Linked DNA regions of Drosophila melanogaster. The protein of the gene in region 2 purifies or fractionates together with the protein of the main gene of each other region. This does not show direct contact. Each region holds a gene or a part of one and is shown on either strand. Other genes may lie near its edges. The genes, in order: Vps13, Rab7 and Gdi.

Evidence for each region.
Region 1: the proteins of Rab7 (region 2) and Vps13 purify together in Drosophila melanogaster (affinity purification with western blotting; one study listed by BioGRID). This does not show direct contact.
Region 3: the proteins of Rab7 (region 2) and Gdi purify together in Drosophila melanogaster (affinity purification with mass spectrometry; 2 studies listed by BioGRID). This does not show direct contact.

The regions. Positions count from the first base shown.
Region 1 is NT_033778.4:7,564,202-7,570,221, forward strand, and holds the start of Vps13 (vacuolar protein sorting 13), read left to right. Parts: upstream 1-2,607; 5' UTR 2,608-2,682; exon of another isoform or gene 2,683-2,798; intron 2,799-2,944; 5' UTR 2,945-3,063; coding exon 3,064-3,163; intron 3,164-4,677; coding exon 4,678-4,764; intron 4,765-4,830; coding exon 4,831-5,028; intron 5,029-5,098; coding exon 5,099-5,452; intron 5,453-5,508; coding exon 5,509-5,730; intron 5,731-5,800; coding exon 5,801-5,937; intron 5,938-5,998; coding exon 5,999-6,020. Other genes in the region: Rpe (Ribulose-5-phosphate-3-epimerase), read right to left, coding at 360-656, 857-1,039, 1,098-1,283; boca, read right to left, coding at 1,757-2,149, 2,312-2,461.
Region 2 is NT_033777.3:23,991,171-23,996,774, reverse strand, and holds Rab7 (Rab7), read right to left. Parts: upstream 3,768-5,604; 5' UTR 3,635-3,767; intron 3,597-3,634; exon of another isoform or gene 3,499-3,596; intron 3,043-3,498; exon of another isoform or gene 2,956-3,042; intron 2,830-2,955; 5' UTR 2,774-2,829; coding exon 2,594-2,773; intron 2,530-2,593; coding exon 2,173-2,529; intron 2,112-2,172; coding exon 2,025-2,111; 3' UTR 1,323-2,024; downstream 1-1,322. Other genes in the region: LSm3 (uncharacterized protein), read right to left, coding at 1-9, 70-183, 237-257; CG33108 (uncharacterized protein), read right to left, coding at 496-743, 809-1,039; Epp (ecdysteroid phosphate phosphatase), read left to right, coding at 3,979-4,091, 4,237-4,477, 4,533-4,728, 4,900-5,001, 5,520-5,604. UniProt on the Drosophila melanogaster protein: Small GTPase which cycles between active GTP-bound and inactive GDP-bound states. In its active state, binds to a variety of effector proteins playing a key role in the regulation of endo-lysosomal trafficking.
Region 3 is NT_033779.5:9,490,249-9,497,460, forward strand, and holds Gdi (GDP dissociation inhibitor), read right to left. Parts: upstream 4,629-7,212; 5' UTR 4,368-4,628; coding exon 3,974-4,367; intron 2,856-3,973; coding exon 2,380-2,855; intron 2,298-2,379; coding exon 1,836-2,297; 3' UTR 928-1,835; downstream 1-927.

The DNA.
Region 1 (6,020 bases), on a different chromosome or scaffold from region 2:
CATTTATTTTTGAAAACTCAGAGAGTACCAAAACCATGACAATAAAGCCGGCATTTGGCCAATGTCCGACAATAACTGGGAAAGTGCAGTAAACTAAATGTAACTACATAAAGTACACGCAGACACACGTATAACCAACTAAATGCTAAAAGCAACATGTCATACCAAACATGATATATACCTACAAACATATATTATATAAATGTTAAAAAATAAATGTATAAAACCACATACGGTTGTAAGTTTCTTTTAATGGTACCATTTCCCGAGGAATTTTCCCCATTACTTGCAATGCAATTTGGTCAAAACATTTCGCCTATCTAAAAAATTCTTTCTTAAGCTAGCTGGTAAATGAATCTCTATTTGAGGTAGCTGTGCACCACATCGCGCAACTCCTTGATGACCTGCGACTGATCGGAGGCGCCCACCACGGCGGTTCCCGAGACGATCATGTTGGCTCCGGCCTCGGCACAGCAGTGTATAGTCTTGGGTCCCACACCTCCGTCCACCTCGATGTCCAGGTTGGGGTAGTTTTCGCGCAGCCACTTGACCTTCGGCATCATATCGGCCATGAAGGATTGTCCGCCAAAACCGGGTTCCACGGTCATCACCAGCACAACGTCGGCAATGCTCAAGTACTTCTCCAGATCTTGTACCTAAAAGGTAAGTGCAACAGGTGGTTACTCGTTGGATATTTTCAAAATTGTAAGGAACTTCAGACCTAGCTTGGGACAAGATCTAGTGGAAATATCAAATCTATAAATAATTTCAAACAAATAAGCAACAAGCTGTGGCTATACAACATACATAGGAGGTATCAAGTATCAAAAGTGATATAACCCTAACCTCAACCTACCTCGGTGCCCGGCTTAATGGCCAGGCCCACCTTCATGCCCGACTCCTGCACTCGGCGACTGACTCTGACGACATCCTGCACCGGTTCGACGTGGAAGGTGTAGAGATTGACACCGGCATCGGCCATGGGCTCTATCCACTGCTCCGGATTCTGGACCATCATGTGCGTCTCGAAAAAGGCCGTCTATATGGGGTTGTGGCATAGGTAATTGAATATCTGGCTCAGATGACTGCAGACTTACCTTGATCTTGTTGCGCAAGCTCTTGACCATGGGGTGACCAAAGGTGAGATTCGGCACAAAAGTGCCGTCCATCACGTCCAGATGCAGGTAGTCCGCTCCATTGTCCAGTAGTTTCTGTGACTCCGCCGCTAGGTTGGAGAGATCCGCATTGAGAATGCTGGGACCGATCTTGGCTTGGACGGGCATCTTCTTGGTGGAACAGCTACTCAACAGGCGGAGCAAGTAGAGCACGTCGCGGTTCGCGGGTGGCGTCTTGTTGACTTAAGGTCACACAGAGGGGAGCTGGAGCTCGAAACATTTGAAAGGCGATACGATAACTTTGCCGATGGCACCGTGAGTTGTGTAGTTGGTCAGCGATTAATTTAGAGTTTTGCTTAAATTTTTCATTTATTTTGTTTTTGATTTGACACATACGCAGTGTATATAAACAATCTAATAGAGATACAAATATTATATTCAAAATATGTTTATTGAAATATTCATATTTTTATCCATATTTATTCCATCCCGCAAACGGAGCCGTTTCCCTGTGAATGGCCAAGCAAAATACATATGTAGCTTCTTTAATAAGTTTGTTTAATAAATTTGTTTTATTTTAATTGAACTTTGATCTTAAATAGTGAGAATGTTTTGATGTGCTGGTATGCCGTGGAACCGGCCTACAGTTCGTCCTTTTTCGCATTGACACCTGGGTACTCCTTGTTCTCGATGGTTACGCCCTTGCAGCGTTCCTGCTCGATGAGGAAGTCCTTGGCGTCCCAGGCTTGTGTGCCGTCCTTGAAGAGGAAGATGGCGCGGTTATCGTCAACCATGTAGCGCTCCGCCTGGATGTGGTTGTTCCAGAGGCTTGTCTGCCAGAGCTTGGTGATGGTGTCGCTCTCCTCCCGGGTTGGATTACCGGTCACCGAAACGAAGGTCATCAGCGTGCGCCCCTTTTTGGACACCTTGAGCAGGTCCTCGGGGCTCTTGCTGTCCAGATTGCTCAGGTCCAGCTTGGGCTGGGGGCGCAGGTGCTCGGGCAGCTCATCATCCTCGAGGGGCTCTTCATCTTCCTAAGAGAAGATTAAAAGAAGGGGTATCAGTTATCCGTCTCTACAAATGATGAATCCTTAGATAGGTGGGAATCTAAAGGGTTGGCATTACTCCCTTGCTAGGTGCGAATCTGGAGAGTTGGGTCCGATGTGTCGCTTTCCAATCGCAGTGTTGTTACCTACCTCCCATTGATCTAGCAGACGCTCGAGGTCCGCCTCGCTGTAGTCGCGTATATCCTTTTTGGCCCACGCCGGTTTCTCCTCCTCCTTGAACTTCTTGGCCAGGACGAGCGGGGTCAGAGCTAGCAGCAGCAAAACAAGACGTGTTTGCATGGTGTTTTATAAATATTTTTCCTATAGCTCAGCAATTCGCACGGTCAAACACGTCACCTAACAGTTTGCCATTCGCCCGGGAACGCGACCGAACAGCTGATTGAGCGTCCCCAGGTGGAGAACGCAAACGGAAAACACAACAGCTGTTAGTTTCGGGCGAGCATTTAAAGAACGCGCATCGCACGGAGTTACTACTTTTTTGTCGCGTGGAAATGCCGCTGGTAATTGGGTGCAGTAAATAGAGATAAGAACGGGCGTTGCACACGTGCTCTGGAGTGGAGTAGTGAGTTAATCGCACCAGCCCTACTCCAGCTGACCCTGGACAATCGTTTGGCTTGTTAGTTTATTTTGGAACAATGGGCCTGGCGGATTGTGCCAAAATATTTGAAATGCGTTCAACGATGACATCATCGACATTGTGTTTTAATCCGTCTCTCCGTTCCATCTGTTTGGTTTCTGTGTTTACATATGCATGTATTTTAGATCAACTATAGACCGCACAGCGAACGCCAGATTGTTTGAAGCACTCACCACGACCACATCAATTGGAATAACAACCACAAACTTGGAGGAAAATCAATAGGAGCATCTGCTAGGACACAATGGTCTTCGAGGCGGTGGTGGCCGATGTGCTGAACAAGGTGCTCGGCGACTACATCGAGAACTTGGACCGGAACCAGCTGAAGATTGGCATTTGGGGAGGTGAGTTCCAGTTCCCCGGAGAGGATGACACCATTCTGCTCCACCCTCACGCAAAAACATCGCCTTACTGCGGTACCCATTGTTTATTGGTCTATTTGCACGCAAGTGCCCAGAAAAAACAATGATGGCGGTGACCTTATCCTTGGCAAAATACTATTAATGACCTAATTTCGTCGCTTCTAAGTGAGCCGTATTCGCAAGTTCATGCGAACCCAATGAATTCTTCTGAGAAAGAGAAAAGACGGAGGAGCATTCAGACTTCGAGGGGTGGGACAACTGTTGCATCTTGCTGTGCGATAGAGCAATTCTTGTGGTTTCTCTTGGCTCTCCATGAGCTCATTTAGTCTCTGCCTTTATATCTTTTATTTACAAATCTACTTGTATAGGGTTTCTGTGTGAAACATAAACAATTCTTCGGTCTTTTATCTGAATGTACTCACTTCACTTCATGTTAAGTGGGTTGTAAATTCCACTTCACGAAGACAAGTTTGCGACAAACCCAGTAAACGGGTTTGTTCAAAGAGTGACGTTCGGCGACAAGCCTGTTTTAATTCGGCTGATCTTGAACTTGGTGACATAATGCCTTGCGTTCATAAATTCATGTTAATTAGCATTTTGTTTTAAACTTATATAAGAGTATTTCATTCAAATATGCTTGAAGTAAGAAAGACCGGGCTTATGCTTCGTTAGAAATGAATGAATATATGCTATAAAATGATATTTTCTCTACAATACCTAAATATTTTGAATAAAACTGATTAGCTTAACTAATCAAAAATGACCTAGTTAAGTCAATGGAATATGTGTGTATATATTGCTTCTATGCAGGGTATATTATTTATATTATATTATTTGCCCAATGATTCATATTTGTTTTCATTTTGCAATTTACAAGTCAAGCGTGTTATATGTACATATATTGTAAAATGCAATCAGGTGAATAACTCTTCTTGTTTATTGAAGCAATCTAATTTAATCAGTTGTTACAACACTGTTATCAGAGTAACTTATAATTAATACTCTTGTATTTAATGTCGATAATTGAACACCACTTGCAGAATTATGATTATTGGCCAGATATGAAGTTTGTAAAGTAAGGCCAAACATGTTCCTATCAGTGCGATTCGACTGGCCTCAAATGTTGGATAACTTTAATGGGGTCGCTTGGTCGTTAAACTATTGACACACAAGCGTAATTCAATGTATAGTATATTCACCAATTGTGCTGCCCATTTTGCATTCCAAGCATAACAAACACTTAACAACTATAAATGCCGCATGCCCAAAATGCCAGACATTGGTAAACAGTATTGACATATTGGTGCGCCCGCTGCTTTTTCCATTTGCGTACTTAACACTTTGCAAAGCCTTAGTCATATATAAATGTAGCTATAGCGCTCTCCCTATGTAATTAACCCGTAATTAATTAATAGGCATTCGCTCCCACTTTTGCAAATGACTGATTACTGCGACTGATAAGACTAATGAAAGCAAATTCTGTCTTTGTTTGGCAGGCGATGTCGTCTTGCAGAACCTCAAGATACGGGAGAATGCCCTGGACGAGTTGGACCTGCCCGTACAGCTTATCTATGGTTACTTGGGTATGTAAAGCATTAGTTTCCAACTGAATTGGATACTCATACACTGTGAATTTAATAAATTTGCAGGCAAACTAGTGCTTAAGATCCCCTGGAAGAATTTGTACAGCCAGCCGGTAATTGTCAACATTGAGGATCTTTATGTCTTAGTTTCACCCAACAACAATGTCCAGTACAACGCCGAAAAGGAGGCCAAATATGAGATGGACCTCAAGAAGGCGGCGCTTGATGCCCTGGAGGCAGCTCGCAAAAAGGAGTTGGAAATGGGTAAGCGAATCTTCTTTTCCATTCTTTGAATGAATCGAAATATATATATATATATTATACTCATTCACAGATCAGCCCAAAGCAGATGCAGGATTTGCCGAAAAGCTAACGGCGCAGATCGTTAACAATCTGCAGGTGCAGATAACCAACGTTCATCTGCGATACGAGGATACCACAACGACGGGTAGTCCCTTCTCCTTCGGCATATCCCTGCATGAGCTCGAACTTTACACCACCGATTGCGACTGGGAGAAGTGCTACATGGCCCAGCAGGCGTCGCAGGTCTTCAAAATAGCGAATCTCTCATGTCTTTCCGCCTATTTGAACTGTGGTGGACAACTGTACGCGAACAACAAGAGCGACCTTTCACAGCAGTTCAAGACGAATATTGCTTGCAAGGAAACAAAACCCAACTACAACTATGGTAATATTTTATAATTCTGTACGAGAAACACCTAAAACGTTTCCTTGCGGTTATAGTGCTGGGTCCTATCTCTTGCAATGCCAAGCTAAAGCTAAACATGAACCCGGAGCTCGATGATCCGCCATTTGAAAAACCTAAAATCGATCTTACGCTGGAAATGGAAAAGCTTAATGTCGGCTTGACAAACACACAGTTCGACAATCTCATGAAGCTTGGAGACGCTATGAACCGCCAGCAGTTGGGCATACCGTACCGGAAATATCGTCCCTACAATATACGTAAGTATTGATCAGACTCTGATTTTTTTCAGTAGTTATTAACCATAAATTGATGTATTATTTTTTTTAGCATACAAAGGCCACGCCAGGGACTGGTGGCACTTTGCAATAACTTCTATTCTAGAGGAGGAAGTAAGGAAACCCAGAGAGAGCTGGACTTGGGGACACATCAAGACCCACAGAGAACGCTGCAACACTTATGCACAGGTGTGTGGAATGTCTTAACTAAAGAAACTACAGTATCCACAGTGCACATTTTACGTTTTAGAAATACAAGGAGCAGTGCTTAA
Region 2 (5,604 bases):
ATCAAAGGCCTAGATAAAGGTGTATATTGAAAGATTGCTGGGCAACAGTAAAAAGAGGCATCAACTCACGTGAAGACGTCCTCGCAGTTCCCGCTCGTTGCGCATCTTTACGTACACCTTCTCATCTAAACTCAATCGGATGAGATCCAAAGGCTCCTTTACCGGCAAAATCACCTGACTGAGCTGCAAGTACGGAATATAGAGAATATCCTTTTCGCTTTTATTCTTACACATACCTGCTCTGTTTCGTCGGCCATTTAATAAAAGTATTTGCACTTCTCGTTTACTTACTGACTGAAAATTGTATATTATTTTGCGAAACACAAAACGCTGTTTATAAGTTGCACCACTGAACTACCGCGAGTTTTACAACACTGCCAGACAACAGTGTGCTGTTCACCGTTTACAAGTGCTGTTAGGCGCCAACGGCTTTAAATGCAGGGGAATACCAAACTCAACCCGGGTTTAAATGGCAATATTTTTGAAAAAGGATACGGCACTAGTAGGCAGCCTCCGGCCTTTAAAAGTTCCTTGACTTTTTTGCAGTCCAAAGGACCTACATGCAACTGACACGCAGCAGGTCCTGGCATATGCTTCCGGGTCAGTTCAAACAAATACTGAGCACTAAATAGTTCACCATTAAGGGTATACTCCTGGTCGATTGCATCCTTGAGGAGATCATCTGCCGTGGGACTGCCACCAAGCAACATGCTGAGGGCCACTAAGCCACAAGTAGGTCCCACCTTCGGTGCACATACATATGTTATCGAATAACAAACTGAGAAATCTTTATTGTTTTCTAACTCACCTGCACTATGCTGTTTACGGAGTAGTATTGACAGTGTTTCGGTGGTGTATATTGGCAGACGCGACTTAAATAGCATCCTTTCTGCACCTCAGGATACTCACATGCCCAAGTGCACTCATCGGTGGTTATATTGTCCCCAACTGGACGTTCCTTTGTGGTAGCAGGTGTGCTAGGAGTGACTATCATGGGTGGTGGGGGAGGAGGTGGTGCCACACTTGAAATATTCGACATGGTATTTAGTTAAATAAATAGACTAAGCGAGTTAACAGACAATAGCCACAGCTGTTTTCGCAGACAAATATTAACAGGGCTGAGTTATCGATAAGCGATATTCTGTGTTCACCTGGTTGCATCTGTTCTACAGTGGGCACAAAGTAAATTAAGCCCACATAAAAATATCAAAATAAGCTTATTTGACTTTTATTGTAAATTGTTCAAGTTTATTCTTTAAATTAAACCAAAGAGCATGAGAATTCATAAAATGAATCTTTGGAAAAAAATAAATTCGAAATATACACAATTTACATATATGTATTACCAAAAACAAGGAGCAATTTTACATGGAATACTATTCATAGTTATAGGATATATCGAGTAACGTTATAACTAAACCAAATTCACGCTCGAATGTTATGCATAAAGAAGTTTTGTGGAGCTCAGCCAATTACAATAGAGTAGCCAATTCGATGGTGCAGGAAATTATGTCTGTAAATTACATTTAAAAAGTTATTCTTTTATTAAATTTACAATCACAAGATTTTTTGTTTGTTTAGAAGATACTCTGATGTTGTATTCTCAATGTTGCTGTTCTGTTGCAAAAGCCAGCAGCGGTTGCGTGCAAAATTTGACTAATACAATGGCAAAAATAGTACTAGGGAGATAGGCGGGCGGTCGGTCAGAAACATGAATTATTAAATACGAGTACACAGAGCATACTTATTCATTGAACGGTTACTTAGGTCGTAGGAAAGTGGGTATACTGGTTAAGCCTTTGCCAGAGGCTCGTTAAGACTCAGCTGATGTTGATCTGAATCTGAACTTTGCATCCTATCAGTTAATTAATTACTATGCTGTTTTGCTGAAATTGTTTTACTTAATCATATAACACCTTCCTCTATCGTCCTTTGTGTTGCTTGCTTCTCATGTTCATTATTATGTTGGAAATATTATTTAATAATATAGATTGTGTAATTATCCATTTTGCGTTGTTGTTACATTAGCACTGACAGTTGTCAGGATTGCCAGGACGATTGTTTTGCGAGCCCAAGGTAATCTGATCGGGGAAATCGTTGATAACTTCAGCCTGTGTGAAAGTACAAAGTTCGATTTAGTATGGAAAACAATATTTAAATAGGATTTCTTACCTCCGCCTCCAACTCTAACGCATTCTTGGCTATAACTTGAAACGCCATCTCCACGTTGATGCCCTCCTTGGCGGACGTTTCGTAGTAGGGTATATCGTTCTTAGATTGGCACCATTGCTGCGCTCGACGCGTGGACACCTGGCGGTTGTCCAAATCCACCTTATTGCCCAACACAACGAAGGGGAAGTGATCGGGATCCCGTGGACTGGCCTGTATGAGGAACTCGTCGCGCCAGGAGTCGAGATTCTTGAACGAGTTGGGCGCCGTCACATCGTAGACAAGCACGCAGCAGTCGGCTCCGCGGTAAAACGCCACTCCAAGCGACTGGAAGCGTTCCTGACCAGCAGTGTCCCAGATCTGTTATTGAAATTTTGCGAGTTATGTCACTGAAATAGGATTACTGGAAGTTCATAGTGCTTACCTGCATTGTGACCACTCGGTCGTTGACCACCACCTCTTTCGTGCAGAAATCAGCTCCGATCGTGGCTTTGTATTGGTTGGAGAAGCGTTTGTTTACATACTGATTCATCAGAGAGGTCTTGCCCACACTGCTGTCGCCCAGAATGATGACTTTCAGTAGGGATTTCTTACGTCCGGACATTTCGATGCAGTTTGTGGCGTTGGCTTACTCGGGGTTATTTCTTTTGGTATTTGGTGCTGAAAACCACAGAATATTATTGATTGTGTGTTAAAAATACCATTGCGGTTTCCTCTAATTCGATTAGGAAGTGTAGGGGTGTGATGGTTTCTTTCCTAAGATAAATGAAAGTGAACTGCGCAAACCTCTAGAGTCTAAACTACATGCCAATGAAAGCCGTAATCTCTGCCAGGACCTGACTGCCTAAGTGCTCGAAGTGCAAGCCATTCGCAGCTGTAAAATGTTTGTAATGACGAGCAGTTGTGCTACGCCGTGCTGGGTGATAAACAAATCGGGTGAGTCACTCTGAGCAATCCGCAGTGTGTGATCGCTGGACTGTGTGAACAGGCGGTCAGTAGGGGAGGGAGGTGCCCGCATCGAGGCGATAAAGCGTGATCACTATTGGCGCAGCGGAGAAAGTGCGCTGAGTACAGACAAAGACGAGGTCGAGCTAATAAAGCGGGTCTGGAATACCAGGAAAAGTGCCTGGGAAAACGCCCATTTCCTCAAAGTCCTCGATGGCAGGGGGAGTCACTATGGTGCAATCGAAAATAGTGCGAAAGTGGACTCTCCAAAGGGAGATAAACTCCCCGCCCCCCTTTTTTAGACCATGAACAACTTGTTTTTGTGCTCCACCATTACAACTACGCCACTAATTGCGTCGGTGTGCGTGGGTCTTTGTTGTGTACGTTTTTCGAGTGTGCGTGTGTATGTTTGATGTGGGGCTCCACTGGCATTTTCCATGCACTTTTCGCCTGCTGCGTAACACTCTTTTTAACGCTTTGCTTTTGCTATTCGCCTAATTCCTTTTGTAGTGGCACTCACTTTGAACACTGGTGAACACTCCAAGAGCTGTTTCTTTGTGGGGCGCTTCGGTTTTACTAAAAAATATTCAATTAATTACGCAGTGAATTTTGTTGTTGTCTCGCTAGGAGAATCGCTCTCATCTCTACTGGTCAGTACTGGTTATCGATAGTGCAGTCGTGTTACAGCTATCGGTAGAAGTTGACTATCTTTAGGCTGTCGTTAGCCAACACTTTTTTGTGGCCAATTAACGAATTGTATCCTATTTTTGTTGAAATTATCACTGAAAAATATTGAACAGCCAGGAAAAACCAAAAGCTGCTAAACGGTGGTCACCTGGGCTTACATAGGAGGCTATAATCGAAATGGCCACGCTTCCGCCGCGTAAGAGTCAGACCCCTACGAGGATCTGCATCTCTAAGCAGCATCTGACGCCGCTCCAAACATTGCTCCAAATGGGGTTTCCCAGGCATAGAGCGTGAGTTTTCTATGCATAGCGTATTGGCAGTCACCAGCTGCTCTAGGTTCCATCCAAGATATAGTGGCTATGCGTGCGAGTGACCCACTATGTTGATTTGTTTCATAGAATCAGAGTATTGATTTTTTTGCTTACCCCTACACAGGGAGAAAGCTTTGGCTTCAACTGGTAATCGTGGTGTCCAGATTGCCTCGGATTGGTTGCTGGCACATGTCAACGATGGCACCCTGGACGAGTGCGCCCCCAGGGAATATATTATATATGCTTGTCCCACGGGTCCGTTTCTGCAGCAGCTGGAGGAGTTCTGGGCCAAGTCGCGCCAAATGTGCGGTTGGAATGGAGCACACAACTACGTGCCTCACATAACCCTGGTTTCGTTTTTTAAAGTGAGCTTAAGTTGGATTATCCAGACTTTATTTATTCACCTAATCGAAATTACAGGCCCCCGATGAGTGCTCGCTGCAGCTGTCCAAGGCGCTCAAACAGGTGGTGGACATGACGGGCGCCTTGTTGGATCGCCCCCTTAAACTGGAGCCCTACATGAGTCAAAACTTCATGGGTTTTTTCGTGGCCGAGGAGGATGCCAACTATCTGAAACGACTGGCCCTGCAGTACGTGAAGGAGGTGTCCAACTCAAGTACGAATTATCCTTCTGTTGGTTGCACTCTCTTTGGGTTGTTTTGGTTTACCTTTCTCACGTTCTGTTCGATTCGGTTGATGGTTTTCCATTTTTCGGAGTGGCTTACACGGTTATGTTGTTCTCCTCTCTTCCTGCACACTTCTGGATAATCTGGGATATGCTGCACAGTCATTAGCGATACCTATGAGCAGTTGGACGCCATTGTGGCCTGCTTTCCCTGGTGCGGTGCTGTCTCCTCGGGCACCCGCTGCATTCCGCGCAGCAGTCGATGTAAGCCATTAGCTAGAGCCATTAGTTTGCATAAAATCGTTTTTGATTCACCCAAAAGTACACTTTCTTATCACTCTATGCATGCTTTAGTTGCACTGGTAGATAAGTTACTAATCTAATCGCCCTTTTGGCGAAATTCAACATGACGCTGCTAATTGTAGTTAATTAGTAGTAACTGTAGATAGCAAGGTGATCGATGTTTTTGGTAGCTACATAGTTAATTTGTTTATACCCCGTTTCATTTGTTTGAAAAATATTTCAGTTTATTATTAAAACCGATTAGTGTCACTATATATACAAAAAATCTTTGATTATTAGAAGACCAGAACTGTAGTTGATAAGCCCGTGACGTTTGGTTTTGCCCAAAGATAACTTTAAGTGACTATAATTCCTTATCGAAAAACATCGATTCACCGTGTTAGATACGAAAGCATATAACCAGCACCGCCTTCATTTCCATTCAGTAATCGTTTGTTCCGCCTAGCGAAAGGCTACTAATAGCTTCTAACTACCTGTAGCCATCTCACTCGAGCCACACGTTAAGAGCCTGCACCTGACGCTTGCCTACCAGTTCCCGCAGGCACAGTTTAATGCACTGAAAGC
Region 3 (7,212 bases), on a different chromosome or scaffold from region 2:
AGGACCCCAAAGTGAGCGAACTAGCCTTCGACTCGTGTGGCATGCCACATGCAATTCAATAAGAATTTCCCACTTACCACGGCCATAAGGGGTGATTTGTGCGGAGTGAGTAGGGTGAGGGGAAGGGGGCAAGTATTTCAAATGCATCCCAAACACTTGCTGCGGAATTCGTAATTGTGTCACATAAAGAGGCAACGAGGAGTCCTGGTCATAACTATAACCCTATGGCTGCGTGATTCAAATCCGGCGAAAAGCTAACAAACTCTGAAACGCCCGGACTGTCGTCGTCACTTTTGGATGGCGAGTCTGGAAAAGATTTTTATTTACAACCGAGTCTCTATACTAAGAGGTCCCCCTTCCTAACAAGACACCACACAGATACCTCCTTGATCCCACCCAGAATTAGGCCAGATCCCTTCCATTTCCTTTACAGACCAGACCATCCTAAGTCACCTCAAAGAATACGTCTAAATCCTTTCCATATTCTTCCAGGATCTGTCAAACAGCAGATTTTCATTTCTCTGTGTGTATATAGTAGCCGCCTTGGCACACACTTATGGTGCGCTTCGTCACTACGTGGACTGCAGTGCATACTGATGTAGTTTAAATCTGCCGCCATTTGGCTGTTACAAAAGCTGAAGACGTCAAAACTCAGTGCCACTTTGGCTGGAACCAGAACTAAAAATCTCAAATTAAATGAGTCTGTGTGAAAGGTGAAAAGCTCCAGGACATATAAAAAGCTGGTAGCTATAAAACTCAAGTGACATTTTGAACGGAACCGGAAACTGAAAACGTTCAATAAAATGAGTCGGTGGAAAAACTCCAGGACAAGATTCCTTAATCCGAAAAGAAACCAGACTTTTGGGGAAAGGAAAGCAAACATAACATCCCTCAATATAAAAATAGTAAATAAAAAAAAAAATGTTTATATTTTTTTAATTTTTATTAAAAATGTAAATTCTGAAAATGCGGAATACCATAGTTCTCTATACCATTGACAAACTTCTTAGGTTCTGTTCTCTTTATATGTCGTTTGCCGCGCTTCGATCAATTGCATTATTTTTGGGTATATGCTGCGATGAACTTTTTCGACTGTTTTACATTTTCAATACCATCGATTTCTTTCTGGGGATTACAATTACAATTATAATGCTGCACTATGCATGTGTAAGAGTTTGTGTCGTGTTTATAGGTATGTGTTATGCTTTCGTTTGGAGCCTTGGCAGCCACACAAATTGGGTGGATCACAAAAAAAAAAAAGAAAGAAAAACCAAGCAGAAGGGCAATATACATAGATAATATATATATACGATGTCATATTTTATATATATATATATACTTTATTATATACTCGTACAACTAAAGTCCAAGCGTAATCGTCTGACTGACTGGCCTATCGGCGAAATGGGAGAGTGTTTGTCGAGTCTAGCGCTTTTGCTCGAGTCACAAGCTGAATCTGTGGAATTTGATTTAGTTGCCTAACACTCACTTAGTTATACATTTATATAGACGTACATATATACGCGACTGCATGTTGTATAATTTATGTTATATTGGTATATATATATATATATTTTCTAGGCATATCCAATATTGCGCGAAGCAAGCAATTCGTTTCACATCTAAAACTTCATCTCTCGATGGAAAGCATTTTCGTAATACAATTTCTGGATTTTCGGTTTTCTTTAGTTTTTTTGGGCTTTTATTTTGGGTTTTCTTATCTTGGGTATTTTTTTTTTTAAGGTTTGGCCACGACGCTGAGACGATCTACGATGTTTGTGGCTGATGTTGAGCTGTCCAAATGCACCATAACCAGATGAGGCCTTCATTCCCGTTTACTGCTCCTCGTCACCCAACTCGTGCTTGATCTTGGAGAAGTCGAACGTCTCGCCAGTGCCCCGCTTGAATATGTTCAACACATCCAGGCAAGTAGTCTCAAAGTGCGTGGTCGCATCGTAAGACTCCGAAATAAAGATTTGAGACTCGGATCCATCATCGATCGGCTCCAAATAGTCCGAAATGGTTACAAACTTTTGTGCGATCGGCTCCAGCAAGTCCAAGCCAGGCTTGATCTCCACCTCCGGGTTCTCGGTCTCAACGGTGGTCGAGACCATGCCCACGAACCAACCCTTGGCGGCCACCTGATGAGTGGAGCTCACAAGCGACACATAGATGTCCGACTTGCGGCCGACCTGCTTTTGTGGAATGATAATCTGCGTGGAGAGACCATCCTTGGTGCTGGCCACCGGATGGTCCAGAATGCAAATGCAGCGAATCACCTTGCCACGCTTGCGCACCTGTCACATAAAAGAAATGTAATACATGGTTATTTCCAAAAGACTAATAGGCTAGTTTACACAAATCTTTTGTGAATCTCACCTTCTCGGGCACGTAGCTGGGATCGCAGTAGACCTGCTTGCACTTGGCGACCTCTTCGCCGGAGCGCACTCCCACCACCTTGCCGCCCTCGCCGAGGACAATCTCGTCGATGGGCTTGTCAAGCATGTAGGTGCCGCCGTAGATGGCCGACAGACGTGCGAATCCCTGGGGCAGCTCACCCAGGCCGTACATGGGATAAAGGTAGGGCGACTTGCCGTAACGCGCCAGCGAATCGGAGTAGAGCTTAATCCGCCGGATGGTGTTCACGGCCGGCTCGTTCAGATACTCATCGTCGCGGAAAAGGGCCAGGGCGTGGCCGGTGAAGTCCTGCGTGTTCTTGTCCAGTCCGAACTTGTCGTACAGACCCTGCATGTTGGCCTTGGTGGGGTCAAAGTCCTTCCAGGTCTTGGGGTCATCTTCTCGGAAATCCTGCACGTAGATGAGGAAGTTCCGGAAGCGACGCTTCTCGAACATACCTGCAAGTAAAGTCACATTTATATATGTATATCCATAATGCCATATTGGTCAGTTTGGGGTTCAGGATCTGCATATAAAGGGAGTGCACGAGCCCGAGGGTTTCAAGTTTCCCGTTTCCATTTCATTTGCATGCCACAAACACTCACATACAGACACTCACTGGGACAACAGCACGCAACTACAGTGGGAAACCTTCAATTTAGGGGGCGGAGGACACACCACCAACAATCAGAAACCACTTGGCCACCCCATGACGTCATTCCGAGCATATGTGTAATGCGGACACAGTGAAGCATGGACAAGGTGTTTAACTTTCAATTAGCAAATTGAGACATCCAATAGGTATTGTTACAAACGGAAGTAAAATCTACCTAATAGTCACATTTTCATTGAAAATTTCTATTTTATATGCAAATTATTGATAATTAAAGACAAAAATTAAAAAATGTAGTACATCTAAAGTCATGAAATGTTTTCGTTTATAGGCAATCTCCACTGTAAAGTGAAGGGGGTTCAATGCGCCTGGCCAAAAACCTGGTTGCAAAAACTAAGTAAAAATTGAAATGGAAAAATTCAAGAGCCAATCATAAATAAATAGAGCGTGTTTTAGCTAATTGCATTGCTGCCACGAAGAAGAGGGAAAAACTTAAATTTCAAACAAAGCGAAATTCAGGTGTAAAATGGAGGCGACCAATTAGCGGCAGGTGTATGAATCAGCGCAGAGCGATTAAAATTTCGACTCCAATCGGAATAGGGCGATAATAGTTGGGCCAACAAACATGGTGTGGAAATGGATATGTGTGGGGGAAACTTTGGTAGAAATTCTTTGGCGAGCGAAGAAAACAACTGTTTTTCGGCACACACATACGTGTCACATTAAAAAAAAGGGAATAACAACAACAAGAGCTTTGCCAGCGAGTGAAAAGGCAGACAAAGAAGAGAAGAGAAAGAGAGTGGTGCGGGCGAGAGAGGGGAAGCAGATAACAGTCGAGTACGAAAATACATACATACAACCACGCACACACACAAGCACAGCTGGTAATTTGCACAATTTTTCGTGGGGGGCTCACCGCCAAGCAAAAAGGCAACGGGACTTAAAAGAGCATTATTAACGAACCCATGAGATCGGATGCCAGGGCCTCCTTTTGGTCCACCGGCACCTTGGCTATCTTGCCGCCCTTGTAAACGTAGCTGCCCTCGATGGACTTGAACTCCAGATAGCGGGTGACGCCCGTGTGGATCAGCAGCTTGACCAGCTGGCCATTGGCCATCAGGAACTTGGGGATCAGGTCCACGTTCCAGTCGCGGCCACGCCCAAATCGTTCGCCGGGCGGCTCCAGTCCGTAGCGCTGGAAGAGCTCCTCCAGCGGCGTTATCGAGGCGGACTCGCCGCCGTAGTACTTGTTTCGATCAATATGCAAAACCTTCTTGCCGGACACGGACAGCATCCCGCTGAGGATGCACTCCTTGAGGCCCGTTCCTAGCACAATCGCATCGTATTCCTCATTCATATTGGATCGCACTTATTTATATATTGCAATCACAGTAATTTATATATTTTTTTTATCCGGTTTTCGCCCTTTTCACTTGCTGCGACGTTCGATTTGGTGGACTTTTCTCTGCGCTCAATAATTTTTCTCTACTCGTTCGCCTTTCGCTCGTCCGCTTTGCGCTGCCCGTTTGCCGTCACGCCGTTTGCTGGTCACGTTACGTTACGTTTTCGTACATGCCCAGGGCTGCATGAGAAAGAGTTGCTATCGGCTGCTAATTGTACATGGAAATAAGGAAATAACCAAACAAGCATATAAGATATTTAATTTGCACACAGAGCATTAATGTACGAAAGATTTAGAGACGTGTGTGCAAGATTTTTGAATTGATTATGATTTTGCAAAAGTTTATTTCCTAGATTATTGACATTTCAGGGCTGCATGTCGCGCGCGCAAATTTATAGTTGCAATTTAAATTTGTTAAATGCATGTGTTGGTCTTGCATAAAGCAAGACATTATAAAATAACAAAACGGAGGATTCACAGATCGATCATATAAAATATAAAAAGATATTCAGCAATTATTGTAAACAGTATTTGAACGCTGTTTACCTATCGAGTTTTAAGTTACTGGAGATCTCTATTTATATCATATCTCACGCATTCGTTCATTACTTTTTATTTTAAAGAGAATACAATATAAGCAATTAGACTTTTCAATGTATGTAATAATTTCAAGAAAACCAACATTTGCGTACATTTATTATCGGAGACACGATAGACATTTATTCCGAAACTAGGGGCATTCTTCTTACAGCTGTTAGCACAGTTAGCGAGTCTGGCCACATCATCCCGAAGCCTCTGCAAAGTTTTACTGGTGATTTTGGTTGAAACGACGAGCCGATTCGGACGCGATTTTTGTATCGGGTTTATTTAGGTTGTTACGTTCTCTTCGCGTCGTTTCTTGTTTCTTTGTTTCGTCGGATTTTCGCGCGTGCAGCGAGCAAGGAAAACTAATCATACATAATCATACATTTTCGTGGAGCAAAAACACACGGCAATGTAAATGTTTGATTATATTTTCATTTAAAACGGAGCCAAACAACTGTGTACTTGTGTGAGTGTGTGTGCGTGCGGTGGCTGCGTGCTTGTGTGGAAAAGTGAAAATGCTATTTGGGCCATAATTGTATTGAAATTCTTAGCAACAACAACAAACCAAACCTCGAGTTCGTGGCAAAAAATAAGTTCGAAAAAAAAGACGAAAACCCCAACAAAAGGAAGTGAAAAAGTGAGCGGCTCAGGGATTTTTTATGCTGTGCTCCAAGTGAAATAAAGTCTTTGGGAAATAATTATTTATTGTAATTCCTTCGCTGAGGAAACATACAAAATAGAAAACAAAAAGATAATCTCCTGTCCCGCTCACACTTTCCGCCTGACCTCGGTTATCATATGTTACCTCCCTGTTGTTCTTGTTGTTGCTTTGAATGTGCTGCAACATTTTTGTATTGTTGCCATGCTGAAAAGTTGTTTTCATCCCCGTGTAAAAATAGTTTCAAACAAAAAATATAAAACAAAACCCCCACGAAGGCAAGGATAAAATAACCGCAGGCAATTGAATTGATCGAAAAACAAGCATAAATCCACGTCTACGATTTTATTGGGTAAGTTTTTCGTTTAAATCAAGTTGCCATATTAAAAATTGCACAGGCATAAAGTCGGAGGGAAAAAACATAATAAAGCACAGACGGCGGCAATCTACAGAAAAAACAAGTTGGTTGCCAAGAACCAGTTAGGCGTTGCAGACCAACTGCCCCGCCCACCGCCCTCGGCCCCCATCCTCCCAAAATATACGACGGGTTTTTTACCTGCTCGCATCCATCTCGCTCACTCATTCACACAGCCTCCGATCGTTCTGGCTTCTCCATCCTCTTTCCCCTTCTATCTCTCTCTCTCTTTGTCTTACCGGCATTTGATAAAAGGCAAATAGATTCAAACAGTCGCGGTTTTAACTTTGCTTTTTGTTTTTCTGCGGCTTTGGATTCGTTTGCACTGTAATGCAGTAAAGATGCTTGGCCTCACTGCGCACAGTGGGACTAGAAAATGCAAGTGAAATGCGAGGTCGGTGTGAAACCGACCCCCACATTGTAAAAATCTATTTTGAGCTAAAAATTAGTTTTCCTTGGCACTCATGGTTAAAAATATAATACATCTAAAATCATATATTAAGGGTATATTTTAGAGACATAACATCTTTCTTAAGACGGTAAAATTGAATTCGAATTTAACATCACGTTTCACAACTTTTCTAAATTTCAAAATGGTGTCTATTAAACATAGAACGTAGAATCAATAAGAATAAATATCTGCCGCCATTATAAAATAAATACTGAGTTTTATACATAGATGTTTTGCATGCTGATTTAAACTGAAATGTTGAGACTAAATTGGAAACATGGTTGCCGATCAGCAATTCGGTGGATGCTAGCAGCTGTTAAAAATTTCCGTTGCTTACCTGGCGGGAAAAAATAATTTCTCTTACCTGTGACATATTTAAAATTCCACCAAGCCGTTCTTTTTATTGCTCTGCATTTTATTCGTTGTAAGGGGCAAAGAGGAGCGGTTACTCTAATTTCGTGTTGTAAATTTAATTTGTAAGACCTTTTTTTGTTTTATTTTTACCCACTGTACGGTGTCTTTGGGTATTTCTTCATCAACCTCCCTTCCCTTTCGTCTTCTATTCAATTGAGTTCAACGGTAGTTGACGTTACTCGTTTGCTAATTGCAGTTGAGAGACGGAGAGAGAAAGACAGAGAGCAAACAACAACTTTTAACTGTTTGTTGATGCGTTGTTTGCTCGTTTGTCTCT